Cricetulus griseus: one gene and its partners. The protein of the gene in region 7 binds, or shares a complex with, the protein of the main gene of each other region. Links are inferred from orthologs where the notes say so. Each region holds a gene or a part of one and is shown on either strand. Other genes may lie near its edges.

Evidence for each region.
Region 1: Med19 (region 7) and Med13l share a complex: the UniProt entries of both Homo sapiens proteins name them as parts of the mediator complex. The link is inferred for Cricetulus griseus from reciprocal best matches to the Homo sapiens genes MED19 and MED13L.
Region 2: Med19 (region 7) and Med24 share a complex: the UniProt entries of both Homo sapiens proteins name them as parts of the mediator complex. The link is inferred for Cricetulus griseus from reciprocal best matches to the Homo sapiens genes MED19 and MED24.
Region 3: Med19 (region 7) and mediator of RNA polymerase II transcription subunit 20 share a complex: the UniProt entries of both Homo sapiens proteins name them as parts of the mediator complex. The link is inferred for Cricetulus griseus from reciprocal best matches to the Homo sapiens genes MED19 and MED20.
Region 4: Med19 (region 7) and Ccnc share a complex: the UniProt entries of both Homo sapiens proteins name them as parts of the mediator complex. The link is inferred for Cricetulus griseus from reciprocal best matches to the Homo sapiens genes MED19 and CCNC.
Region 5: Med19 (region 7) and Med23 share a complex: the UniProt entries of both Homo sapiens proteins name them as parts of the mediator complex. The link is inferred for Cricetulus griseus from reciprocal best matches to the Homo sapiens genes MED19 and MED23.
Region 6: Med19 (region 7) and Med12 share a complex: the UniProt entries of both Homo sapiens proteins name them as parts of the mediator complex. The link is inferred for Cricetulus griseus from reciprocal best matches to the Homo sapiens genes MED19 and MED12.

The regions. Positions count from the first base shown.
Region 1 is NC_048597.1:98,444,271-98,448,404, forward strand, and holds the start of Med13l (mediator of RNA polymerase II transcription subunit 13-like), read left to right. Parts: upstream 1-1,334; coding exon 1,335-1,406; intron 1,407-4,134. UniProt on the Homo sapiens protein: Component of the Mediator complex, a coactivator involved in the regulated transcription of nearly all RNA polymerase II-dependent genes.
Region 2 is NC_048600.1:111,788,178-111,791,862, forward strand, and holds the end of Med24 (mediator of RNA polymerase II transcription subunit 24), read right to left. Parts: coding exon 3,483-3,685; intron 3,229-3,482; coding exon 3,047-3,228; intron 2,824-3,046; coding exon 2,733-2,823; intron 2,387-2,732; coding exon 2,287-2,386; intron 1,499-2,286; coding exon 1,418-1,498; intron 1,115-1,417; coding exon 849-1,114; 3' UTR 501-848; downstream 1-500. UniProt on the Homo sapiens protein: Component of the Mediator complex, a coactivator involved in the regulated transcription of nearly all RNA polymerase II-dependent genes.
Region 3 is NW_023276806.1:255,578,091-255,582,254, reverse strand, and holds the start of mediator of RNA polymerase II transcription subunit 20, read left to right. Parts: upstream 1-1,364; 5' UTR 1,365-1,499; coding exon 1,500-1,513; intron 1,514-3,488; coding exon 3,489-3,643; intron 3,644-4,164. Other genes in the region: bystin, read right to left, coding at 730-994. UniProt on the Homo sapiens protein: Component of the Mediator complex, a coactivator involved in the regulated transcription of nearly all RNA polymerase II-dependent genes.
Region 4 is NC_048595.1:119,710,543-119,714,042, forward strand, and holds part of Ccnc (cyclin-C), read right to left. Parts: intron 2,909-3,500; coding exon 2,817-2,908; intron 1,894-2,816; coding exon 1,826-1,893; intron 1-1,825. UniProt on the Homo sapiens protein: Component of the Mediator complex, a coactivator involved in regulated gene transcription of nearly all RNA polymerase II-dependent genes.
Region 5 is NC_048595.1:244,070,302-244,073,801, reverse strand, and holds part of Med23 (mediator of RNA polymerase II transcription subunit 23), read right to left. Parts: intron 2,806-3,500; coding exon 2,663-2,805; intron 1,199-2,662; coding exon 1,024-1,198; intron 407-1,023; coding exon 243-406; intron 1-242. UniProt on the Homo sapiens protein: Required for transcriptional activation subsequent to the assembly of the pre-initiation complex. Component of the Mediator complex, a coactivator involved in the regulated transcription of nearly all RNA polymerase II-dependent genes.
Region 6 is NC_048604.1:68,969,516-68,973,015, forward strand, and holds part of Med12 (mediator of RNA polymerase II transcription subunit 12), read right to left. Parts: intron 3,246-3,500; coding exon 3,016-3,245; intron 2,435-3,015; coding exon 2,354-2,434; intron 2,237-2,353; coding exon 2,066-2,236; intron 1,862-2,065; coding exon 1,717-1,861; intron 1,550-1,716; coding exon 1,499-1,549; intron 1,204-1,498; coding exon 1,085-1,203; intron 899-1,084; coding exon 755-898; intron 325-754; coding exon 161-324; intron 1-160. UniProt on the Homo sapiens protein: Component of the Mediator complex, a coactivator involved in the regulated transcription of nearly all RNA polymerase II-dependent genes.
Region 7 is NC_048599.1:90,852,325-90,856,521, forward strand, and holds the start of Med19 (mediator of RNA polymerase II transcription subunit 19), read right to left. Parts: upstream 2,801-4,197; 5' UTR 2,713-2,800; coding exon 2,496-2,712; intron 1-2,495. UniProt on the Homo sapiens protein: Component of the Mediator complex, a coactivator involved in the regulated transcription of nearly all RNA polymerase II-dependent genes.

The DNA of each region.
Region 1 (4,134 bases), on a different chromosome or scaffold from region 7:
CAGAGATCCGCCCGCCTCTGCCTCTGAGTGCTGGGGTAAGAGGCCGCGTCCCACTAATTCTACCTCTTTTCAAGCCAAAGTTCCCCCTCCCTGTATTTTGGGGCCGAAAACTGGTGAGTTGGTTGGAAGATAGTGTCCAGTATCAGCACTTCTCTCATTACTCTGAAGAAGGAATGCTGATTATTGGACCCTTGGAGCCTGAGGAAGGGCCTGCTCCCCACACAGCACATTGTGAATGTGGCACATAGCAAGAGCGCTGGGGACATTTATGCAAGGAATGCCTGCACGCACGCAGAGTGGGCGCAAAATGCTCCGGAAACATGCGTGCTTTAGGAGCTCAGCGCTCGGTAGGCAGCGAACCCCGAGCCCTGGCTTCGTAGTGCCAGGGTTCGAATCCCGCGTCCTCGGGCAAGCGCCTCGCTGCCTTTGTGTCTCTGAGTCCCACTCCTCCGCCCGGTGAGCAGCGGCCGGCGGGCGTGAGGTTTCGAGGACACTCCTCGGTACGGTCCGACAGGCCGGCCCAGCCCGGCCCACGCCGCGCCCCAGGCCCGAGCAGCTACCAGGGCTCCGGAGGCCGTGCCGAGAAGCCGCGGCCTCCTCGGCCGGCGACAGACGCGCGCCCGCGCCCAGGGCGGGGCGTCCACGCAGCCCCGCCGTCCCACGGCCGCCCGCACCTCTTTCTCTCTCTCCCTCCCTCCCTCCCTCTCTCGCTCGCTGGTCCCCGCTCCGAGAGGGCCGCGCTCGGCTCAGCAGCGCTCCCGCGAGCCGCACCGCCGCCGCCGCCGCCGCCGCCGCGGCCCCTCCCCGCCCCCCGCGCGGCCGGCGCCCGTCACGTGACGCGCCGCAGCCAATGGCGGGCCGAGCCGCGGTCGGCGGCCGCCATTGCTGTCAGAGCGAGCGAGCCCGGGAGGGAGGAGAAGCGCGGCCGACTGGGGAGGAGGGGGGGGTGGGGAGGAAGAGGAAGGAGGGGACGGCGCTCGCTGCCGGGGTCGCCCGCTGGCTTCGTCCGCACCCCCCCCTTCGCGGGCTCGCGCGGCAGCGGCGGCGGCGGCTCGGGGCGGCTGCGGGGCTCGCGTGCCTCACGCGCCGGCGCGGCGAGGGCGAGTCGCCCGCCGGCTGGAGATAAACAAGGCGGCCGACGAGGCGGCGAGGCGGAGGCGGAGGCGGCGGCCCTGCGCGACAGAGGCGGGCGCGTTGCCGCGCCGCGCCCCCCGCCGCCGCCGCCGCCGCCCTCGGGCTCCGCGCGCGGCCTCGCGCCCCGGTGCCCGCGAGCCGCCGCCCGGCCCGGCCCGCTCCGACATGCCCCGCTCTGGCGGCCGGGCTCGCGGAGGACCATGACCGCCGCGGCGAACTGGGTGGCGAACGGGGCGAGCCTGGAGGATTGTCACTCCAACCTCTTCTCGCTGGTGAGTGGCGGGGCGGGGGCCCGGGTGGGGGGCGCGACCTCCCCGCCGCGCAACTTTCTCCTCCCGGAGCCCCGGCGGCGTCGGCGAGCGCGGCGCCCGGCGTGGACGTACGTGTGGAAGTCGGGGCGCTGCGGACGCCGGGGCGCGCTCGGAGCGCCCACCTCCGTGGCAATCACACCCCCCTTCCTCTCCCCTTCCCCCTCTTTTTTCTTTTCTTTTCTTTTCTTTCTTTCTCTCTTCCTCTCCCTCCCTCTCTCTCTCTCTTTTTAACTCCTTCCCGAAATGTGGAAGGCTTAGAATTCTGCCTTGTGCAGCCGCCGGCGCCTGCGATCTGCAGGCTCGTCCTCTCTCCGGATCGGATCGGCCGCTCTCCCGCGTCTGCCTTCTGAATTTTCTTTTTTTAAATTCCACAATGACACCTGCGATTTCGACCGAAAACAGTTGATGGAAGGCGATTGTGTCAGGGAAAGGACTCTGGCAGCGGAAGCTCGCACGGTTGTAAACACGGACAGCCGCCAGCCTCTCGGGGCTTACTATGCTGGAGAGCGGGAGAGCCATTGCTCAGAGCCCACGGAAGGTGGAGGAAGCTCCTGCTCCTCGGCTCTCCTCCGCTGCCTTTAAAAACTGTTTTTTCTGCCCTAACAAGGAAAACACACACACACACACACACACACACACACACACACACACACACACACACGAGAGAGAGAGAGAGAGAGAGAGAGAGAGAGAGAGAGAGAGAGAGAGAGAGAGAGGAGAGCAACAAGCTGGGCGGTTTGATAACATCGCTTTTATCTGCCTTTGCCTCTCCTCTCTCCCGCTTTCGCCTCTCTGATAATTGACAACTTTTGCTTTGGAAGTGCATCGCCTGCCTTAATCTCGAAGCATTTAGGGTGTCAATTGTTCTCCTGGAAGCCTGGCACCCGACGAGGGCGGCTCGATTCATCGAAATTAAAAATGTATAGGGCTCCAGCAACTCTTTCCTGGCGGTGGCAGTGACATTTGGTGGTAAATGCCATCTTTGCTTTTTATTGGGTCGTATTACCTCGCTCTGAAAACATTCGCGTTGTTAAACCTGGTGCTTAGACTGATAATGGGAGTGCGTGGTCTTTAAATACGCGCTTTGTGCCTGAGTTACTGTATGTGGAGCTATGTGCCCGGGAGAGTACGAATTTGTTTAAATATTGAGCAAAGATTTGTAAACAGATGTAAGGCAATTATGTTTCAAGCGTAGAATATAATTGGAAAATTGGTTGAACGGCTTATTTAATTTAGCCTTAAAAACTCAACTTATTTTAAGTTGTGTGCCCAGTATTTGTTTTGGGGGGGGCTGGGGTACGCTCCCTTTTGGAGAGCATGCATTTATTGCAAATTATTTTCTGTAACCCCTGCTGTAGATAGGAGCTTTATTTCCTCTCAGTCCTTGTTTACACTGGATAAATAATTTAGTGTTGAAATTGTAATTAGTTACATTTAATTATGGGTGGCATAGATGCTTTTTCTCCCCTTGGAGACTAGTGGAGAAATACGAATTCTTGCCAACTTAGGAAGTGTCATTTTATTTTCATGCAGATAAAGAAATCAAGCATGATTTTGGCCTACAAAGACCTAGTGACATAGTACTCCTGCTTGCAGTCCTGTAACAGTGTAACAGCAGGCTGATTTCTTCTTACTCTGAATTGAGACTCAGTTAGAAGTTGGGGTTCTTCCTTCACCGCTGTGGTAATTTACCCCTTGATCTTTTGATGTGAGGATAAAACTACTTTTGCCCCCCCCCTTCCTCTGTCTGTCATTTAGTATTAGGTTCAGGAACCTTCATAGATCAGCAAATGTATTGATTAAGGGGTATTTAAAATGGTTTTGTTTGGCGGCTGGGTGACCACATTGACATACTTACAGGTAATTAAAATAACCAAGTCAACCCATATTAGTTTGGGAGAGCTCCCAAATTACCATACATCATGCTGACTAATAATGGCTTGTGTGCATGTGGCTAATTTATAGACAATGAATTGTGTGGACAAATGAAAGACTGTTGGTGCACAGCTGAACTGTGAGGTCATTCCTTATCTCTTGAGCTTCAAGGGGGTGATAGTGTAGAGATGAGATGTTTGAAATTCCTTGTTGAAGATTCTGGACTTTGATTTTTACTGGCCTAAGGATGCATTCTGGGTATTTCTCCCCTAAACATCTTTAAACCAAAGAGTTGACTTTTGAATATAATTTAAAGTATAATTAACTTTTTGGGTAATCCCTTTGAAATGCAGACATGCTTAGATTGGTTTAAAAATATAGAATGTTTATATTTCATGGTACCTAGGGATGTATAAATGCTGTTTAATTGTTCAAAATGGCTTATTTATTTTTATTTTATGTGCATTGATAGATGTTTTGCCTGCATGTATGTCTCTGTGAGGGTGTCAGATTCTTTGGAATTGGAATTACAGATGGTTGTAAGCTGCCATGTGGTTGCTGTGAATTGAACCCCGGTCCTCTGGAAATGCAGCTAGTGCTTTTAACTCTATCTAAAATTTATTTGAAGAAAAAAAAATCAAACTTCAGTCTTTTCTTCTGATTCCAAATTGAGAATTTTTCCTGAAGATCATATACAGACAGCAGCAATCTATCATGTTAAGAATACATTGCCCTAACAACATAGTTGATTCCAAAGGGTTGGCAGTGATCACCTTTTCAAAGTCATGTGTATGTCTGAAGAACTATAGGTACT
Region 2 (3,685 bases), on a different chromosome or scaffold from region 7:
CTGAGCTGAAGATGTCTGCAAGGGTGGGATGTGGCCATGAAGAGCACTTGCAGTTGAAAGTCAGCTGCAGGCTCCCTGTGGGTCAGAGCTGCCCAACCAGGCCAACCTAGGCACCGTCCTCCACAGCCCTCCATACCACTGGCTTCTCAAAGCCCCCTTGACAATTTCCCTTCCCACAGCCTCACAGATCCATGTCCCTGGACCTGTAGAGTGTGGAGAACAGAGTCCTCATCCTCATCCCTCCAACAATCTTCTGGAACACACAGTGAACTCTGGGCCAGAGGGTGGAGTGTGACTAAAGAGCAAGCCATCCTGCCCTGCACAGCACAGTACAGGGCTTTCACAGACCTTTCCACTTTCAGTGGGGGCCTGTGAAAAACGAGCCTGGCCTTCCACACCTCCTCCCCCACCACAGGACTGTGCCCTTCCCTGGCCACAGCACAAGAGACTTGCAGGGAAAAGATACTGTCCCCAGTCATCCAGCAAAGCTACCAACAGCATTCAATAGCTACAAGGATCTTTATTTACAAACAAAGCAAGAGGGACTCCCCCTCCTGAGTTATAAAAATAAACTTATATATACACTGTGGCCCTATAAAGTCCCTCCTTGGAGTTCAGCTACTGCAAGAATTGGGGCAACCATCGGGACCACTCGCAGTCTTTGGGTACTGGTGGAAAGGACAGAAAACCACAGAAGGAACAGGCATAGTAAGTAGAGGGCAGGAGTGGGTGAGGGCCTCAGACTGGAGAAGCATCCTTGCACCACTGGATGGGGCAGCCTGGGCTCATCCTCACTCCCCCTGCTGGGATGCTGGGGCTGGGACCCCGTCCAGGCTACTCCAAGCTCCTCAGAGTGCAGCGATGGCTTTGGCAGCCACTTGCCGACCGAGGGGCAGGGTGAGGTCTGTGATGGCCAGCACTACCTTGGGGCTGGACATGGCAGACACCTTTACTAGTTCCGACACAGTGGCAAAGGGCATGAACTGCAGAATGCTGCCCCTGCTGTCCTGCTCCAGGCAGTCGACACACTCCTCCATGAACCACTGCACAAACTGGGTGTGGGGGCCGGCGGTGCGGGAGCCCAGGATGGAGGAAATGAGCAGGAACAGGTTGGCTGTGCAGAAGGGAACAAGACAGCAGAGCTCTAGAACAAGTCAGACGAGAAAGAAGGGGACCGAGGAGGGAAAGGAAGAGGCAGTGAGAGCTCACATAGGAAGGCCAGGGAGGGAAGGTGGGGCGGGGGATGGGGGATGGAGTAAAGGGAGGCTGTTAGCGGTGGTAAGGGAACAGGACAGCACATGGAAGCGGAACAGGATGTCAGGGCCCAGAGGATCCCTCTGGCAGGCGTGGCCCTGCCTCTGACGAGGAGGGGCCCGTGTAGCTCAGTCTGCAGGTAGGCACGGCTGGGAGGACTCACCCAGGACTCTGTTCAGAGGGTCCCTCATGTTGACTGTGTGGAGTTGGGAAGCCGAGAGGGAGCTGTTCATGGAACGGTCAGCTGTGGAGTGGCAGAGAGGGTGCTGCGTAAGCTCTGACTCTAGGGGAGCCTTACCTGTCCCCTGCCATCAGGGGAGTCTGGCACGTACGGGGCACAGAAGAGCCTGAATCTGGAGAGTAGATGAGTGGGAACAAGCCTCTGCGCACCAACCGAGGCTAACCCTGGCACTCTGTGTGGCTGAAGCCACCTGTCCCACTCAAAGCCCATTTTACAGACGTACAATCTGTTTGCTTAGAGCCTGGCTAAGGTCAGAGGTGGTCTGCCAGCAGCTTTCTTTCACACAAGGCTGTGGCTGTGGCCTGGTCCCTTATAAGGCTACAGAGAAAACTTCTAGGCTCAGAAGAGATCTCTGGAAACAGGAAACTTGGATGCCACACAAAAAAACTTTTGGCAGAAGGAAAGGATGACATGGGCTGCCCTCTGGATAGGAAGGCAGGAGTGCAGCCCCAGGTCGCAACCTGACAGGGCCTGTTCTCAGCCACAGGGCATGTCTCTGGGTTAGAAGGATGGCAGAGTGAGTGAGTGAATGGTACAAGCTGTACCAAGGTAGTGAACTCACTGGGTGTCTTGTCATCTTTCAACTGGTGACAAGAGAGGGATAACTGTGGGACTGGGAGGGCCCCTGGAGGAGAACTTCAGGTCCCCACCAGCAGGCAGCAGAGCATCCACTAGGGACAGACGTGGAAGCTGCTGCCACACCACACTGGCTGACAGCCATCAGCTGGGAGCCAAGGCAGGTCCTTAGGGACAAATGGTCCTAGCAAGCCCGTGACCTCCCAAGTGCTCACTGGGACTCGACAGAATGTTGGCATCATCCTCATTGGTGCTCAGGAGTCGCATCAGCTTCGAAGGCTGCATGTCTTCCACGGGGAAGAGGCTGATATAGTCCTGGGGGCAGGAGTCACTGTCACACACCCAACCTCCCAAGTCTCCAAGGACTGGAGAGGGCTGGAGGTGAGATCTGAGTGGAGAGGAGTGAGTTTCCTAGTCCCTGGCCAGCATCCCCAGTGGTGGCCCTTCCCACACTCCAATCTCTGCCCTAGTGGGCAGAAAGGACCCTCATCAAGGATACTCAGGGGCCACTCAAGCCACTCCCCCAGACCCTGACCAATCAAAAAGGCCCACACACAGGGGACCTCAACCCCACCCCCACCCTGGGAAGGCAGCTCTCTGCTCTAAGTGATCAGGAAGCATCTCATGAATAAACACACAACCAAGGCGGTGGCAGACCTACCTCAATGTCTTCCCTGTGTCTCTTCTTGTGGCGGGAAGCTGCCTGTCCCTTTTGAGAGGAATAAGAACTCAGGGCGCACCACACAGCTAGTCTGGTGAAGGGTTCCAAGAAAAAAGAATAGTTAAGAGAGTCCCAAAAGAGGCTATGTGTGCTCATGCTGAACAAGCCCCTCCCACCCACCACCACTCAGCGGGCCCCCCAACCACAGCCTGGCTTCCTGAGCTGGCACCAGGGCTGGGGTGCCTGAATCTGGGTGGTAGATTCTTGGGACTCAAGGGGAGCAGACACCAGGAAGGCTCTGGAGAGAATCCTACTTGGCTAGTGCAGTGCCAGGAGGGTCCATGAGGCTGTGCCACTTGGAGGAGTCAGTAAGCAGACCGGGCAGGATGTGGCCCAGCAAGACCAGGGTCACCTGCGGCAAGTCCAGGCAGAAGATGGAGTAGAGTAGCTGTACTGCCCTCAGTGTGTGTTCCTTGCGAGTCTCCTTCAGCAGCTCCTGGGCAGTGGGCAAGCAGCGGCTAAGGCACTGCACACCTGGGCCCTAGGGCTCTCATGCTCCAGCCACTCTACAGTCAAAGGTGCTATCCAACTCCAACCGAAGGTGCTTCTCTGAGGTGAGGTCCCTACCTCTGTCTCCCCCGGAGACCACCCAGCTTCCAGCAACCTCCCAAAGAAGCCTGGCCTACCCCAACTGAGGACACCCATGGCCCCAATCTACATAGCTGTCCACATCCACCCTGGCCCCAGTACCTTAATCAGGTTGTTGCAGAACCAGTAGACGCCGCCCATGCGCAGCAGGGTGTCTAGGATATGGATGGAGCGGCTGTCCACCCAGCCCCTCTCCAGCACCTTGGCAAAGATGTCTGTCAGTACCTCCTTGATGGGGCGCTTGGGAGGAAGCAGGTTCCAGTAGGGCATTGTGTCCACGCCCGTGGATGGAAACTTGATCTGTG
Region 3 (4,164 bases), on a different chromosome or scaffold from region 7:
ATGTTTTTTATATCTTAGTCGGCAGGGCACAAAACTGGGGTGCCTGGCCTGTTGAATTAATGGCGGGTTTGTTGTTGTTGTTTTGAATAGGAATATATTCATTTTCTTTTACTGTCTCGATCGATAGAGGTATACCATGTATATCAGGCTGATCTGGACCTTACTATGTAGTCCACGAGGGCCTTCTTCTGCCTCAGCTTCTCACCTGCTGGGATTACAGGCGAGCACCGCTGCTCATTGCTGGAATATGTTACTCTATTTAATATTCTCTGCCTTGGGGTAGACTTCCGGTGCTAAAAGCAAGGACGAGTACATTGTTTATTTCGGTATCAGAACTGCCTAAACTCTTTTTTATTGGGGGGGGGGGTTTCAAGACAGTGTTTCTCTGTGGATCGAACTCACAGAGATCAGCCTGCCTCTGCCTCCCGAGTGCTGGGACTAAATGTGTGTGCCACCACCGCCCGGCTTAGAACTGCCTGAACTCTTAACACAGTTCAAAGCATTGCACAGGAAACACAGTCATACTTCACAAGCCCAGAGAATAAATACTGGAACTTGGTGTGAGTGATTACTTCCTGTTGGAACTCTGAGGTAGGTTCCAGAAGGTACGCGTTGAAGTGAAGGACCACGCGGGAAGGAAAAACTGCCTCCTCTTTGTAATTCCAAACCCGTATCCGGATGGACTGAGCTAGTCCGGCCCATGCCACCACTCCAGCCCGTGTCACTCACCCAGCCGCGTGGCGCGTTCCCGTGGCTTTGCAGGCTGGTCTGCAGTCCCGTGTTCAGTCTCGAGCTCCTCCTGCTGTTGCCTGGCTTGCTGCAAAATGCGTCTGCTCAGCCGGGGTCCAACATACTCTTCCTCCTCTTCAACCCCGCGTCCCCGCCGCTTGTCTCGGGTCCCCGCGCGCACTGCATTCCCAGCCAGAATCTGCTCGGCCAGAGGTGCATGCTTCTCCTGATTCCGGGCCCCGCGGGCCACCTTCAATTTGGGCATTTTTCTCGAAAAACTTGCCGATGCTACTCACACGTGGGAAGCCGGTTTAAAACTAGGACTGTGTCTGCGCCCTGTGTTCCGGTGCTCGGGAGGTCACCGAGAGTTCACAGCGCCCCCCAGCGTTCGGAGGCCGGAAGTGCCTCATATACCGCCATCTCTCCAGGAGCTCCGGGGCGGGAGCTGGACTCCCCAGATTCTCAGGTAATCTCATTGTACGGAAGTGGGTGGATGTCCCAAGTCACCTTTTCCAGACAGAATTCATGAATGTAGCCTGAGAGGTCCTGTCAAAGCAAAGCGCGCCCTGGGGGCGGAGCCGGGCTGATGACGGAATTCGTTCATCGCTGGAGCGCCCGGGCACGCCTCCCTTCTGTGGGTGTACCGCTCTGGCGCTCAGATTTTGCGTATTTCCGGAGCCTGCATCCTGCTTTAGGCGGCTCTACCTCCAGGGGCCTCTGGATCCCTTGACTTCGAGTGTTTGGCAGTGCCACCCCTTTGACCCTGCGCCATGGGAGTGACTTGGTAGGACTGCAGGGGCTCTTGTGGGACGGAGCTTGGGGTCGTGAAGGCCCCAGGAGGGGGATCGGGACGGAAGCTCTCGGTTCCTCGCGGGCTGACAAAGATGTCCTCGGGTCGTGTTGCAGCAAGGGACGCCGTGTGGTGCTTCTTCCTTCCCAGGCGCATCCTTTTGGCAAAGCCAACTCTTCATTCCAGGAACCTGTCAGGAGTCGTACCTTCTTTTTCTTGGTACTTCTTCATGTCCGTCAGGCCATAGTATTGTCGCCAATAGGACCTAAAAGTTGGGAATAGGCTTTCGCACTAAGAATTATTTGCAGGCAGCGATAAAAAAGAGGGGGGCGCTCTAGGAGAAAGTGACTTTTACATTTTGCTTGCAGTAATAATAGCCTGGCTTTAATTTGGTCTAATGTCAGAGGGAGAGGAAAAGGAGCTGTTGGAGGTTTGGAGGTCGGGGTTCCAGGCACATTAACTATCCAAGAATCACTTCCTACATGTTTGAGTCAGGTTTGGGTTTTTTTTTGTTTTTTATCTGAAACGTGTTTTAAATCTCACTTGGAAAAAGAGAGGTGATTGGTAATGTCTGGACACCGTGCTTTTCTTCAGGGCATTAATTCCAAAGTACTAGGCTTCAGCACGTTAAAAAAAATCTTGGTAGTGGTGTGTGTCTTCCCAGCTGTTCTGTATAATGTGTGTGTGGGATGTTCTTCAGGAAACCCAGGCTCTTGCAGGGTTTTTAGTGACTACTATACGTGCAAATTAGTTGACACCAGGAGCCTTATCTCAACCTCATCACACCGTAAAAAGTACCTGTCAGCAGTGAAAATAGAAATCACAGCAGAGTCACTGGGCCCTATAAAACATTTCTGTATATGTTTTTATGGGCTGTCGATCACCTGCCTCTGACTCCTGCATCCTGGGATCACAGGAGTGCTCCACCAATGCCTGCCTGCCTAGGGTTCATTATACAGAGAAAAGGTTTCCCTTCCTACTAGTATCGGTTCAACTCTCTCAAAATCACAGAGTTTCTGTCACAGTGTCAGTTTAGTGACTCTTCTGTTTTATGTATTGCTCACTGGTCCTTGAAACGACTATTGTCTCTTTTTCTAGGCGTATACACTCGAGGGATGCGTTCTCTTTGTTCTTAGTGCCTTTAAATGGAACTCTGTGATAGTGGGAAAGTTCTGTCCACAATGTCCAGAATATTATCCACCAGCCTCCTGGGGCTCTATACCTGACAAAAGCAGCTTATGATAGGGTTTATTTTGGCTCACTAGTTGAGTTTAAATAGAATGAGGTGGCTGGTCACATTATGTCCATAGTCAAGAGGTAGGTAGGGGTGTGTGGGGGTGTGTGTGTTTGGGTGTGTGTGCGCGTGCGCGAGAGCACGTGTGGTGTCCTACTCAGCTGATTTATCCACACCTTAGTTAAATAAGAATCTCACAGACAGGGTCAGGAGTTTGTTTAAGAAATAGGTCTCAGCCAAGTATACCCCTATAATTCCAGCACCTGGGAGGCCGAGACAGAAGGATTGCTAAAAGAGTGAGATCAGCTCAGGCTAATTCAGTGAACTCCAGATCATCTTCGGCGGCATTGTAAGACCCTATCTCCAAGCTTCTAGGTCCTGTCATGTTGGCACGTAAACCATCAATCACATCCACTGTACAACTCAGTGACACTGAATGTGTGCAGTGTGTGCTACCTAGAATCAACACTTAATGTTGGTATTTGTACCTTACTTGGGAATGCTGATGTGGTAGAAAGTTCCATGTCCCTGTGTGAGACACTTGAGACCTGTGTTCTGCCTGTTAAAGGAACTCTTGGACTGTGGGCCTCTTCCTTTCTCAGTTTAAGGGGCAGGATCAGAGTTAGTGTTATCTAAAGTAACTCCTAGTCCTGTTGATCTGGTAACTATTTGGGAATGAGTGGCTCAGCCAGAGCATGTTTGTCTCTGGACACTGCTGACTGTTCTGTTTCTCAGTGTGTCCCAGATGCCTGTGGCTGAGGGCAAGAGTGTCCAGCAGACGGTGGAGCTCCTCACCAGGAAATTGGAGATGCTTGGGGCAGAGAAACAAGGAACATTTTGTGTGGACTGTGAGACTTACCACACAGCTGCCTCCACCCTGGGCAGCCAAGGTCAGTAGATGACTGCGAGCAGATGTTTGGACCCGGCTTGGAGTCCTACAATTATTCATAGTCATTGGCATCTATTTGTGGTGGTCAGATTGCAGTTTGAGCTACTTGTTTAATTAAAATTTTTTAATTGTGTGTGTGTGTGTGTGTGTGTGTGTGTGTGTGTGTGTGTGTGTGTGTGGATATGCGCACTAGTGCTCCTGTGTGTGGATATGTGCACCTGAGTTCAGGTGCCTTTAGAGGCCCGTGGTGTCAGATCCCCTGGAGTTAGCCTTACAGGTGGGTATGGGTACTGGGAACTGAACTTGGGTTCAAGGCCAGCCTGGGCTAGAGAGTGAGAACCTTTCTTGGGAAACAAAAATTGTCTAGCACAACCAGAAGTGCTTTCTTTATTAAAGAATAGTGTTGGGGCTGAGGTGATAGCTCATCAGTTGAGAGCACTGACTGTTCTTCTAGAGGACCAGGTTTGATTCTCAGTACCTACATGGCAGCTCACAACCTTTTAAACTCCAGTCTTAGGGGAA
Region 4 (3,500 bases), on a different chromosome or scaffold from region 7:
TCAAGGCAGATTTCGGGGGAAATCAGCAATGTTAATCATGCAGGGGTTGTCTCCTCAAAGGAGGAAATAAAATACCTGCTTTCCATCCAGAAAGTAGGGGTGGATATTATTAACAACCTGTTGACCTTTTGCTATCTATAGAGGCAGACCTCACCCAAATAACCCAGGATGTCTATCCCAGACTTTCCCTCCCTAGACCTATATCTTTAGCTCTCAATTAATGGAACCCATCCTTAAGGGATATAACCTAAATTTTAAAAAGCTAAATTTCACTTAAGCATTTTTGACCTTTGCAATACAGTCACGTTTGGTTAGACAAGCTTTTAAGATGGTCTTGTAGGCTGGAGAGGTGGCTCAGAGGTTAAGAGCACTGGCTGCTCTTCCAGGGTCCTGAGTTCAGTTCCCAGCAATGACATGGTGGCTCACAACCATCTATAGTGGGATCTGATGCCCTCTTCTGGCACACAGTAACATGCAGATAAAGCACTCCTATCCATAAAATAAATAAATCTTGCTGGGTGGTAGTTGCAAATGCCTTTAATCCCAGCAGAGGCAGGCGGATCTCTGTGAGTTCAAGGTCAGCCTGGTCTACAAATCGAATTCTGGGCTGGAGAGATGGCTCAGGGGTTAAGAGCACTGACTGTTCTTACCAGAGGTCCTGAGTTTAATTCCCAGCAACCACATGGTGGCTCACAACCATCTGTAATGGGATCTGGTGCCCTCTTCTGGCCTGCACTATATATATGATAAATAAATAAATCTTAAAAAAAAAAAAAAATCGAATTCCAGGACAGCCAGGGCTGTTACACAGAGAAACCCTGTCTCAAAAAATCAAAATAAATAAATAGATAAAATAATTTTTGCTAATTCAAAATACCACCAAGTCCAGTGCTTCACAAGAGTCACCAGTGCTGCAGAAGTATTCAGTTCAGCCCATGTGTGACCTGTACTACTCGTTTTTTGTTTTTTTTTTTTTTAAAGGTTTTATTTATTTAAGAGTATACAACATTCTGCTTCCATGTATATCTGCACATCAGAAGAGGGCACCTTATAAGGGATGGTTGGAAGAGCAGTTGGTGCTCTTAACCTCTGAGCCATCTCTCCAGCCCAGACCTGTACTACTCTTACTACTAAGAAAGGAGCCAGAAAAATCAACAGGAGAAGAAAAAAGGAGCAGGAACTATGAAGTGCCTAGGATGTAACAGACATTTGGTGCTCTATAGGTTGTTTCACTTAACTCTTGAAACAATTCTTTATGAAATTATTATCCATCCCACAACTTTATAAGCTCAGAAAAATTACATAATTGTTTCTACAACTGTACAGAAAGCAATGTCTCAATTTGGTCTGCTTAACTCTAGCCCATCCCTGCGTGCCTTCTCCACCCCATGGGATGCCAGCTAACTTCTAGTGACAGCAGCACAGGTGCTTCTTAAGCTCTTGAGGTTTTACTGGATCCGGAAATGGAAGTCAGAACCAGTTACTTAAGACAACTAATATCAGCAGATTTACACCCAAATTTTCCCCTTTAAGCAAACAAAAATGATGTTTAGGTACTGATTAAAATGTTTTAAATGAATTAAGGGGGGAAAACTATCAAAAAAGGGACTGAGGATTAGCAATGTATAGGGGGAAAATTATCAAAAAAAGGGACTAAGGATCAGCAATGCTAATCTGTTAATAGTACTTATTACTGAAAGCTCACATTCAAGGATTAGTCTACCACTTGATAAAAACATAAATTACAATCAGGCGAAATGTATTTTAGGATGACCTAAATAGGCAAAAACAGTTTAACCAATAAAGGCACTCCAAATTTACATACCTAAAGCTATCATGAAAGGAGGATACAGCAGACAAAGATCCGTCCTGTAGGTATCATTCACTATTCTCCTGTGGAAATGTAAATCTTATCATTACTAACAGCACAACTACTTCATTGACCATGTAACTTCTCCCAGAGAGAGCCAGATTTCCATCTTTGTGCATTTACATCCCTGTTCTACTACCGAGAAGAGTCATAAAGATGAAAACACAGAGGCCAAACAATGGATGCCTGAATGTGACAACAAAGATTCATGTATCAGTGAGCATATTTTTGATGTTGGTACCTCACAACAAATTATATAAAATAAATTTTTCATATTTTTGAAAAATAAAAAATAAAATTAAGAAGCCATTATTTGAAATGGATTTGTATTGAATCCAATCAAAAAGTACTATTTTAAGAATAAATTCTGGGTGGTGGTGGTGCACGCCTTTAATCCCAGCACTCGGGAGGCAGAGGCTGGTGGATCTCTGGGAGTTCGAGGCCAGTCTGGTCTCCACAGTGAGTTCCAGGCCAGCCTCCAAAGCTACAGAGAAACTCTGTCTTTGTAAGAATAAATTCATTGTTAATTTTCATGTGAGGTCTTATTTTTCATATGAAACATTAACAGATATACTTATCAAACAGGTAATTCAAGATATATATGACTTTATAACCTTATACCACTATAGTTATTAAAATTTTTTTGTTTTTTACTTTTTGTTTTTTCGAGACAGGGTTTCTTGGTGGCTTTGGAGGCTGTCCTGGAACTAGCTCTTGTAGACCAGGTTGGTCTCTAACTCATAGAGATCTTCCTGCCTCTGCCTCCCGAGTGCTGGGATTAAAGGTGTGCGCCACCACCACACAGCCTAGTAATTAAAATTTAACAAGCAAATATTTGCTGAATATAAAATATCTTGGGGCACTTTAAAATACTAAACCACATATTTAGTTGTCAACCCTCCTGTCTAGCAACAGGTTTCATATGAGTAACTTCTGTTCTAGTTACCATGCAAGGGGAAGCAACACGTCTTCTTGGCCCATGTCCTGCACATACTGGAGCAAAGGTCTATAAGGATGATACACTATCAAGCAACAATCCTAGAAACAGTTTAAAAACATATATGTATAAGAGCAGATTTATTACAACATAAAACAATACCATTTCCAACTAATTGTATTTAAAATTAATTTCTCTATCTCATACTTGCTTCTTCCTTCTTATTCTTTTGCTCACATATGACCTGAGCTACTGTGATAGTGAAGGAAATGCTCTCTCTGGAATATACCTTGGTAAATCAGTAGGCAGCCAGTCAACATCCACTCTTGCCCTCAGAGACTCAAAGTGTCACACCTGCAACACACTGACACCTCTCACTAGACTATAAAGCCATAGTCCCAACGGAGGAGCAGAATTCTGCCAAAGACATAATCTGTCTTTAGTTCTGTGTGTGTGCACGCACACACAAATTGCACACAGTTTGCAGTGGTTTAACTTCCTGGCTTATTTGCTTGTAATCCTGATTATAGCTATAATAAAATTTTAAAAAATTTCCAGAGCCCAAGTAAGATATACAAATTATTTTACAGGCATCAGAAGGAAAAATAGGTGATAATGCTACTATAGTTCTATGATTTTGCCATCACATATCATTTAGATAAATTTAAAATTTATCTCCCTTCAGAACAATTC
Region 5 (3,500 bases), on a different chromosome or scaffold from region 7:
AAATCTTTGGGAATTTCAAATTAGTTTGAAAGCAGTTATGAAACAAAACCCTTAGTTAGAATGGTGGTGCCCTGAGCTTCCATTATTAACTGATCATATGGAGATGGCAGAACGGGCACCTCCTGAGTACAGTCTGCCACTGTGGCCTGAGAGGAGCAAGACACTTCATCTGCTAATGTGGCTCTCACAGTCTCTACCTGTGACATGGTTGCCCTGGCTAAGGTCAGGATCATGGTCTCTACCTGTGACATGAGTTGCTCTGGCTAAGGTGAGGATCAAGGCTCGGTTCAGTTCTTCAGATTCTGCTGACAGCACCGTTTTGGGATCACTGAGGAAACGTGTGAACTGCGGTTGGACCTCCGAGCTCCCTAGAGCTGTGATGAGCCTCAGCGCAGTGCTCTCCACACTGAAAGCAGCAAGAAAGCACAGTTCACATTTATGCAGTTAGATCCAATTGTAGAATTATTAAACTGAAAGGACACAAAGATTATACATTACCTTTCTTTGACATAAAAAAACCTCCCTGTTTGATGCTAAATTTTACAATCAGAAGTAGCTGACCTTTTACACATGCGACAAGAAAGAGCTTATAGACTAGATGAAAACCCTCCGAGACAAACAACACGTCAGTAATTGTATTTTTACTGGGTAAGTAGCACACACTTGCAAGGTCAGCATTTAGGAAGCACTGGCAGGAGGATCAGGAATTTAAATCTTGCCTTGGCTACAAAAATGAATTCAAGGTCACCTTACAATACACAAGACCCTGTGTTACCTCCCCCATCTGAAACATATTTTCATTTATATCAAAATTAAAATGACACTTTAACCATGACTTGAAGTGTATTTAAATACAACTTCTATTAAAAACTTGGATTCCACTACTGTGTTAGAATTATAGTATCTTAGAAACAGAATTTTAATTTTACAACAAATAAGAAAAAAAAGAGGGTGGGGGATTAAGTCCCCCACTTGAAAGCACAAGCGTACCAAACCCGAGGAAGGGCAGTCTGTAGCACTCACCACAGATGGAGCTGGTTCTGGTTGGTTTGTGCAACTGCAGCCAGCGTGTGGAGATGGCTGAGGAGCTGCACCCTGTAATGAGGCTGAATGTGGTGCATGCGGTAGCTGAACATCTCCAGAAGGGTGTGCAGAATGCCCCAGGCGTTCGACTTGAAGACAGTAGGCAAGAGCTGACCTGGAGAAAGAAGAATTCCAGGCACCAGTTACTAAAAGGGACAAACTTGGATATTTGAAGAATATCACACTCAGGATATATACAAAAATGTAACTATAATAACATATACACGCAAGTACATACACAGTTCTACTTGTAGGGGTGAAAAAATCAGAGCCTACATACACATTGAATTTATCTTTCCTTTCTAGAGTTTGATAAGTCAGGCTCAAGTTAAGATGGGAAAATTAAATGAAAGCAACCACACACAAAAAACAAAACCAAACAAAAGAATAAAAGCCCATCAAACTGCCAACTTGCCTTGCTTCTCAGTTATCTTTTACAATATTTCCATAGTCAAGATTTATGAATTTTGAGTATGAGAGACATTCCTTTCTCTCTTTTTTATAGTGCTGGAAATTAAACCCAAGGGTTCCATTACCTAGGCTGGCAGTGAACTCTTACACTCAAGTAATTTTCCTGCTTTAACCTCCTCAGCAGAGACTACAGGTGTACACCATTGCAATTAGCACAATTATAACAGTCACTTTTGTTTTTTTGTTTTTTTTGTTTTTGAGACAGGGTTTCTCTGTGTACCTCTGACTGTCCTAGAACTCACTATGTAGACCAGGCTGACCTTGAACTCAGAGATGCACCTACCTCTGCCTCCCAAGTGCTGGCAGGATGTATGTGCCACCACTACCTAGCCAGATTCAATTTTTAATTAAAAAAAAAAAAAAGGCAAGGTGTGGTAGCAGCTACCTTTAATCCTAGCACTTGGGAGGTAGAGGCAAGAATCAAGAGTTCGGAGCCAGGTTCACCAACATAAAAAGTGAGACGCCAGCTTGTACTGGACTATGTAGGAGATACTGTCTCAAAAAAAGCCAAAAAGCAAACCAGAACAAAAAAGCTAACGTCTTTCCTTGTTCATTCTTTCTTCCATCCAAAGAAAGGTGGATTCACATCTAAGAGAAAAAGAGTGACTATGGTTAAAATTCAGGCTATTGGTGAAATGAATCACAAAGATGTTTCCAGTTAGAGAGCACCTATTATGTAGAACTGCTAACCACTAGCTAGCACTGTCTTCTGCAGTGTCCGAAAGTCCTTCTCTACTGCCAGCCAGCCTTAGCACTAGCCTCACCCAGCACTTCGGCCTCTAAGAATTCATTTGCATGGGAGAGGACGTTAAGCTGAGCAGCCCACCTGAGCACCTAGCTTACTGTCGTTTTCCTGCCATGCTACTTCCAAACAAGCTTCTTTCCCCACAGACATTAAGAAGCTCTCCTGTCGCACATTTTGCTTTCTTCTCTATCACACACTGTCTGTCACAGTGCATCTCTCTCAGTTGCTTGCTTTACTCCCTGTCCCCTGTCTGTCCTCAGCAGTGGGCCTCATGCCTGCTGCATCCTCTGAGAGCACCTAAAGAGTACTCCTTAAATTAATGAACATGTTAGTCATCAGAAACAGCAGTGAAGCTTGTCTTACTGATAAATCCTTTGATGCCCAAAGACTCTATTTCCATGTAGACCAGTAAGCGACTGTAAGTCTCCACCAGAGCTGGGGCTAAGGCGACACTGGATTTTGCATGAGCAAGTTTTATCACTCTGGTTGCAATGCTGTGTATAAGGCTGAAGAGGAAAAAAAGCACAAAATAAAAAAAAATGTGTCTACATAAACACAGGGCATTCTAGTCATCAACAATTTATAAATAAACTTATAAATCTGAAATGAAATGGTTCCAATGGACTTAGCTCACTTAACATGTCTAAGCTGTGCTGGACACTTGGTAATGATGGCCTGAACTACTGGAAATGAACTATGGTTTCTCTGGTGCTTTAGGGCTAGGGGTGTAGTTGGTTCAAAATGCAGAGGGATCCCTCTTCTCTGGAAGAGCAACCTCTCCATACAAGACCTAAGAGCATGCTTGGGCACCTTTAGTCTGTTTCTCCTCTCAAATAGGCAACTAAGCATTGCTGAGGAATAATAAAACATTTATCACCAAATTATTTAATAAATTATTGCAAAGACCCAAGTGCTTGATTCTAGCAGGGCTTCGCTCCAATTTGTCACATGCACAAGTACTACAACATATGGTCTTTTACAATGTTTATCATATGAGAGAAAAAAGCACGGCTTTTGTAGAGCTGCCATACAGACATGTTTTCTTTGGCCTATATAGTATTGTCTTAGGTTTGCACCAATACTCGAAAACTGAGAGAAAAGACATTTCTGGATTGCCTAGTCCTTCTCAAAAAACAAAACAAAACAAAGCAAACAAAAAAACATTTTGAAAACCTAGACTAGGCAGCATTTTACTACCCAT
Region 6 (3,500 bases), on a different chromosome or scaffold from region 7:
CATGGCCCAGGGCACAAAAGCCCTGGAAATAAATTCAAGTGTCTTGGTACAGCTATTCCTACCCATACCTTAGCAGCAGACTCTGCCCCACTGTGTGGACCCATGTATAACGATCCTTCCTAGGCCATTAACAACTGGCATTTACCAGAACCCTGCTTACCCCTCAAACACTTGTGCCATCTGGTCCTGGTTGAGGATGAGGCAGGCATGATAGTGTCGCAGGACAGCCACGATACATAAGCATAGGCTGGTTGTGTAGCTGCCCACCAGATCAGAAGATTTGAGAAGGAGCTCGGCCTCAACCACGCTCAGCTCATTCAGCAACTATCAGAGACATGGAGGTGAAACATAAGAGGCCCCTTTCATTGGCCATAACCCCACTTTCTGGAAGGAACTTGACATGGCCAAGCCTGAGCTCCTTCCTGCTGCAGCCACTTCAGCACAGAAGGGTCAGGTTACCATGTACCAGTGTCGCACTCTACTAGCAGTATCTCTAAGCAGTCTCCAGGACAGCATGCTATAAACTCCACAGGGGGAGGATGGTCTGTACCCAAAGCTCTAATCTGTCTCTTGGGCCTCCCCAGGGAGCACTTAAACCTCTATTCCAGCAGTCTTAGATCATGTTCCACTCCCACTGTGCTAGTCTTTCAGCCATCCAAATAGCCTAGGAAACTGGCTGGAGCCTCTACTCCTCTTCATGACCCTATAGAGCATGAATTCCTTCTTCCGCCCTTATCTGGCCCAACTTCCCCACCTGAATGGCAAAGTCGATGAGGCCACTGATGCTCAGTGAATATTCCATGAGGTCGAAGATGAACTGCACATGCTGCACCAGAGGCAAGTGGTATGACATGCCAAGGGCAAAGCTCGTGATCTGCTCCAGAACATTCCGGGAGACCTGATAAGGGCAGTAGGAGTGAGACAGGAATGGAAGGAAAGAAGACCTAGGGAAGCAGGAAAGGGTGATGGTGGAAGGGGATGAGACCAGCAGGCTTAGCCTGTTTAGTAGGGGGGGGGAAGATAAAACAAAAAGGAAAAGAGGAAAAGAGGCCAGAATGGGAAGGGGGCTGGCTTAGGCCCACACCTGAGCCGTGACCTGGTGTTGGTCATAATGAGAAAGGTGCTGGAACTTAGCAAAAATATCTTCAGCAGTGGGGAAGGCTTCCGGCCGGTTGCGGCGTCGCTTCTGCCCATCTTCCCCACCTGAGCGGACAGTTGAAAGCAATGAGTCAGGACAATGAAAGAAAACCAGTTGACTAGGGGCTGGGGTAGGGGTGTGGCGAACGGACTATGGTAGGGAGGGAGGAGGGGAAAAGGGAAGGAGGGAAGGAGAAGAGAAGGGAAGGGTGGTCAAGGAAGGGCTTGGGTAGGGATAAACGGGACAATGAAGCACAGGTTTAAAGGGCCACAGACTATGTGGACCTCTGAGGAATGTGTACAGGGAGGCGCTAGGTTAAGGGGGTAGGGGGAGGGCAGTAAGGGGCTTACTGTGAGGTACCTAAGAATGTCAGGTCTCCAGGATTCAGAGGCACAATAGGAGCAAGCTGGTCTGTAGAGGGGGGGAATGAGGGGGAAGTTTCAAAAGGACTAGAGCTCTCAGGAGACTCCAAGAGACAGGACATTGGGACATGACTGGGGAGTGCCCTACACTGGGCATGGGAAGACTGACTAGGGCATTCTTTGGGGAGACTTCTGTTTAAGGAGACTCAAACCCACCAGTTTCTGCTGTTCCCTTGCGGTTCAGAACCTTCAGGATATCCTTGGTAATCTTCTTGATGGCATGGCGGGCATCATCTCGCTGCTTCCCCACCCCAAACAGTACGACCAACCGCTGGTTGCACTCATGGCTGCATGACTCCTCCTGCATCCCGGCAGCACCATCAGATTCCATCATGGGTCTCCTGCCCTCCTCTTAAGAGCATGCTTTGTATCTCTCAAAGCTCCCACGTTCAAGCCCCTTCTCAAACACACCCACACCCTGGGGAACTGGTCTAGCCCCTCAGCAAACTCCTTGGATGGAAATCTGGGCTCAAAGCAGACTATCACAAATGTTGGACAACAGTACCTGTGGGATTGGAAAGTGTGTGGCATACTGCACATGTCGTGGCTGGTCATAAAGAACCCCAAGTGTCCCCTCCATCTTCTCTTTGGGTGGGGGTTTCACTTCCTTTTCGACATCTGGTTTCTCAGGGGATGGGCTTCCCTTCCCCTCACAAGGCATAGTAGGGGAGAACAACTAAGAGGGTGAAAGGGCAGAACATTCAGGAGAAGCAAAAGGAGGCATAAAGAAATTCCAAAAGGAGGCATAAGGGGAGAACCAAGGTGCTGGATTCTTCCATGCTTGGGATCTTACTGAGAAATCGGGCTTCTCCATGTCTTCAAAAAGCACACTGGAACTAGGGTCTATGTCCATAGATTCAGAGAGCCCTGGATCCTGCAGGCACACAACAAATCAAGAGCTGCCTTGGTCCTGGAAGTGCTTCCTCACTGTCCAGGAAAGTTCATTAAGAACTGGATCAAGGCCAGGCGTTGGTGGCGCACACCTTTAATCCCAGCACTCGGGAGGCAGAGACAGGCAGATCTCTGTGAGTTGGAGGCCAGCCTGGTCTCCAGAGCGAGTGCCAGGATAGGCTCCAAAGCTACACAGAGAAACCCTGTCTCGAAAAACCAAAAAAAAAAAAAAAAAAAAAAAAAAAAACACCAAAAAAAAAAAAAAAAACAACTGGATCAAGGGGGCATGAGGAAAGCCCAAGTTATGGATTCAAACCTTGTTCATTTACTTAACCAGTAGGCAAAGCCTCAGTTTCCATCACCTTTAAATGGAAAGCAGGAGAAGTACCTCACAAGCCTTTTCTGAAGATTAAGTGAAAAACTGACATGAGACTATTCTATAAATCATGAAGTTCTGAGAAAATACCATTATTCTTGGGTACAAGAGATGCTCAGAGGCTTCTAGAAGCTGTAAAAATGGGAACGTCAAAAGTAATAATTAAGAGCAATGAAAAGGACACACACCTCTAGCTTGCTACTGCTGCTGCCTTCAGTCTCCTTGCGCTCTGGGTCATCCGCAGGATCATCAAAGGGAGAGGGAGGCCGAGGACCAGGGGCTCCAAAAGCAAGATCTCCCCGAGAGATGAGAGTGCAGGTGTACATGTTGTGCGAGAAAACATCGTGTCGGATCAGTTCACAGAACAGCAGTACTAGATTAAAGAATTCCACTCGTTCACTCTCACTGCGGGGATCAGCTAGAAAGAGGGAATGAGGAGAGATAAGTTAGCAGAACACAAGACGGACAAAAGAGATAGGGACACATCTCAGTAATGGCGCTCTTAGACCAGGCAGAGACAGACACCCCTGAGGCAATAACAGGAAGAACAACAAAAGAAAACCCTGATAACGGGTGGTTGGTAGGTCTGGGAAAATGCCTCAGCAATTAAGAACATTCCCTGGCTGCTCTTCCAGAGGGCTGTTTTTCCAGAGGGTTTGATTCCTAGCACCCA
Region 7 (4,197 bases):
TTTTTAAAAATGATTTATTTAAAAAATTTTTAGACAGTCTCTCTGTCTGTTCCTCTCTCGTTGGATGCCTTGAAGCTCCCTATATAGACCAAGTTGGCCTTGAACTCAAAGATCACCTGTCTCTGCCTCCAGAGTTCTGGGACTGAAGGTGTGAACTCAGCCTGAAAGATTTAATTTTACCTCATTTGTGTGTATATGTGTTGTGATGTGTGAATGCATTCCACATATTATTTGATTGCTTGTGGAGCCCAGTAGAGGGTGTTGGGTTCCCTGGAGCTGGAGTTAGGGGTAATTGTGAGGCTCTCATGTAGGTTCTGGGTACCAAGCTGGAGTCCTCTGAAAGAACCAAGTGCCCTTAACCTCATAACTTTGGAGCCATCTCTCCAGTTCTCCTGGCCCTTTCTGAGGACTTCATGCTTACTAAGCATGTACTCTACCAACTGAGCCACATCCCCAGTCTTTCTACTCATACTTTTATGCCAACTTAGCTTTGGGGCCTAATCAACCACTATACTACTCTTCCATTCAAATTGTTTTTCTTTTCTTTTCTTTGTTTTTAGTTTTTTTTTCCGAGACAAGGCTCTTCGTGTAACAGCCCTGGCTGTCCTGGAGCTCATGCTGTAGACCAGGCTGGCCTCGAACCCACAACCTGTCCGTCTCTGCCTCCCAAGTACTGGGATTAGAGGCATGCACTACCTCTGCCCGGCTGACAGCTTATTCTTGCTGTCATTTTGGCTAACAACATTCTGAAAACCATCAAGTAGTTCTTAATATTTTCCCTAAGATATCTGAAGCAAGACTACAAAGTAATAAGATTGACACCAACAAAAAATACAAGCATAGCCCTTAAACCATGTATTTTGAATCTCAAAAAAAAAAAAAAAAAGCTACCTAAAAACCAGGCTTACTAATCTCCACTTCTCACACCATCCCTCCCTCCATTCCCACATATCCAGCATTTGCCTAGAACAGAAATCACTATTTGTCAACTGATTTACACAAACAAGTACAATTAGAACAGGTAATGCAAAAGATAAAGAAAGCTGGGCATGGTGGCACACACTTGGAGGCAGAGACAGGTGTATCTCTGTGAGTTTGAGATCCGTCAGATCTACGGTGAATTCCAGGCAAGCCAGAGCTACACAGTGAGACCCTGTCTCAAAATCAAAACAACTAAAATAAAGAAAACTGTTGGAAGACACCTATCACTAAAGTACAGTCAATTTCTTTATGCTTCAGTTTCTCAATTATAAAACACAGACAATACTTATCTAAAAGGGCTATAAGTATTACATATTGTTACACACTGATATGAAATTGAAATTATTTTGCTAATAGTTACTGGAATGAACTGAGGACCTTTTTTGAAGCAGGATCTCGTCACCTAGGCTGAGCTTTAATCCAGATCTTCCTGCCTTCACCTCCTAAGTGCTGGTGTGTAGTACCACAAATCCCTAAGACTAACACCTCTTGATTTTTAGGCCTTCAAACTTTTTCTTTCCACAACTTCTTACTCTCAGACTATCATACCCTCTGTAGAAGACACCCCCAATTCTCTCTTTTTATATTTATTTCTGTAGGCTCTGCCTCTAACATGTATCCTTTATCCATTCACTTCTCTACAGCTAAGATTTAGTCCAAACTATTATTTCTTTCCTGAACAATGGCTGGTAACATCCGATTATCTTACTTTCATTCCTCATGTTGCTGCTGAATATTTGAAAATCAATAAATTAGATCATTTTGCACCCATGTTGAAATGGCTTCAATTTGAAATTTAAACACTCTACATTGCCTTATAAAGGTCTTTGCCTATCTCCCATCACTACTGGATTTGTTTGTTTTACTGGAGTCCAATCTGTCTTCGACCCCTTAGATATTCTAAGCTTCCCCCCCACCCCCCGCCTCCTGATCGATCAAGTCTCTCGTATCTATAGGTATCTCTTTTCTATCCACCGATAACTTTATTTACTCTTGAATGCTATCTACTCAGAGAAGACCTGTGAAAACTCATGCATGGCAGGTAAGAGTCCTACCACTGAGCCATGCGCCCCCAATTTCCAAATAATTGTATAAATGAAAGAATTAATTCAATTTTAATATTTTCTTTGAACATGTCAATCTCCGAGTCCCTGACAAGGATGGCTACTTACTATACACCTAACAGACTTTAAAGTCTTAGCGTCTCCAAAATTGTTAAATCAGGTCTCCCGAGTTCCAAACAATGGCTCACGTTTTTATAGAGTCACAAACGGCGGTCAGAGAACCGGATCACAGAACTTTTCGCCAGTAGTCCCAGATAGTCACACCCACCCCAAACCCATCCCATGAAATCAAGCTCTCTCTTAGGGTTATGAATCGCCCAAGAGCTTCTGACACTTGAGTTGCCCGCTGGCCACGCGTCGCCCGTTGCTTCACGCCTCGCACAGCAGGCTGAAAGCCACACCCGTCACCTAATCAGTACCTGATTGGCTGCTTTTGACCCCACTACTCACCGGGCAATTCCCGCATAAGGTAGAAGGGGCCGCTTCCAGCAGCCGACTTGTCTGCGCCCGCAGGGGCCGAGGTCGCCGTCGGGGGCGGGGCCGTGCCTGGGCCACCTCCCGGAGGAGGCGGAGGTGGCGGGGGCGGCTTTCCAGGCCCGAAACCTAGGGCGCTTGGGGGTGGTGGGGGGTCAGCCTGAGCTCCAAACAGCGCGGTGAAATTCTCCATAGCACTCTCGGCTCCTGCATTACCCGGGATCTGGCGTTAATGACTTTCATTGGCCAGTACTTTCCCAGGGTACCACCCTCGTCCTCGAAGAGCTTCCGGCCATTGGATACACTAGGCCCCGCCTACCACCTTCCTGTAGTTACTTCCGTCGCTCTAAGAGACAGTTTGGGAAGTAGTTCGCAGTCTTACAGCCAATAAAATGACTCAGGTAGAAGAGCGACAACTCTATGGACCAATAGACTGTCTAACTCATTTTCTCATCTATCATAGCACCCAATAAGAGATCTACATCCGGGTCCGGAGGCGTTGCATCTGATATTTGGCCCAATAGAAGCCTCGCTGGTGGGGGGCAGCGGAGGGAAGGGCTGGGGGCCGAACGGAGCCTGCGAGAGAACCGGCAAGGAAGATGGCTGTCCTCGCGCCTCTGATTGCTCTGGTGTACTCGGTGCCGCGGCTTTCTCGATGGCTGGCTCGACCTTATTGCCTTCTGTCTGCCCTGCTCTCCGCTGCTTTCCTCCTCGTGAGGAAACTGCCGCCGATTTGCAACGGTCTCCCCACGCAGCGCGAAGATGGTAACCCGTGTGACTTTGACTGGGTGAGCGCCCCCTGCCTCAGCTCTCGTTGACCATCCCTGCCCCTGCAGGTGCATATGAAAGTGTGGGGGAGATTTGGGGATGTAACCATCTGACAGACTGAATGGAAATCCGCTGCTAGTCTTAACCTCCTTGTTTAAGATGGAGAGAGAGATCCCAGGGTTTCTCCACACATAAACAGGGTTCTGCAGTGATGCCAAGCTTCCTGGAGCGCCGGCGAGGAAGGCAGGCAAGCCAGTAGTAGAAACACCACTTTTAGTCATTTATTTGACAAATTGATCGCAGTGTAGCTATTTTATTTATTTATTTGGCAAATTGATCTCAGTGTTGTTGGGCGACTTTCCCAAGGTCACACAGCGTTCACAAAGTGCTATCTAATCTTGTTCAAAACCCTCTGATAGGCCGACTTAGATCGCTAACTCAACAAAATTACTTAGGTGGAAAAGCAACCGCACGACTACCCTGGCCACTGTAACTGCACATACTATCATCCTCAGGGAGGATAGAAAAACAGAGATTACAAAAACATGAGGAGGGGGGAGCCTCTCACCATTTTAGAAGCACTAATTTCAGAACAATTAACATTTGCTGTGAAGGTTGTGGAACATAGAGCTAATATTCCTTCCCTATCTAAATATTTATGTTAAAATAGCAGTGATCCTGGGGCTGGAGAGATAGCTCAGTGGTTAAGAGCACTAGCTGCTCTTCCAGAAGTCCTGAGTTCAATTTCCAGCAACCACATGATGGCTCACAACCATCTATAATGAGATCTGGTGCCCTCTTCTGGCCCACAGGGATAGATGCAGACAGAACACTGTATACATAGAAAACTTAAAAAAAAAAAAAAATTGCAGTGACCCAGACTTAAGTTATTACTATAACCTTGGGTATG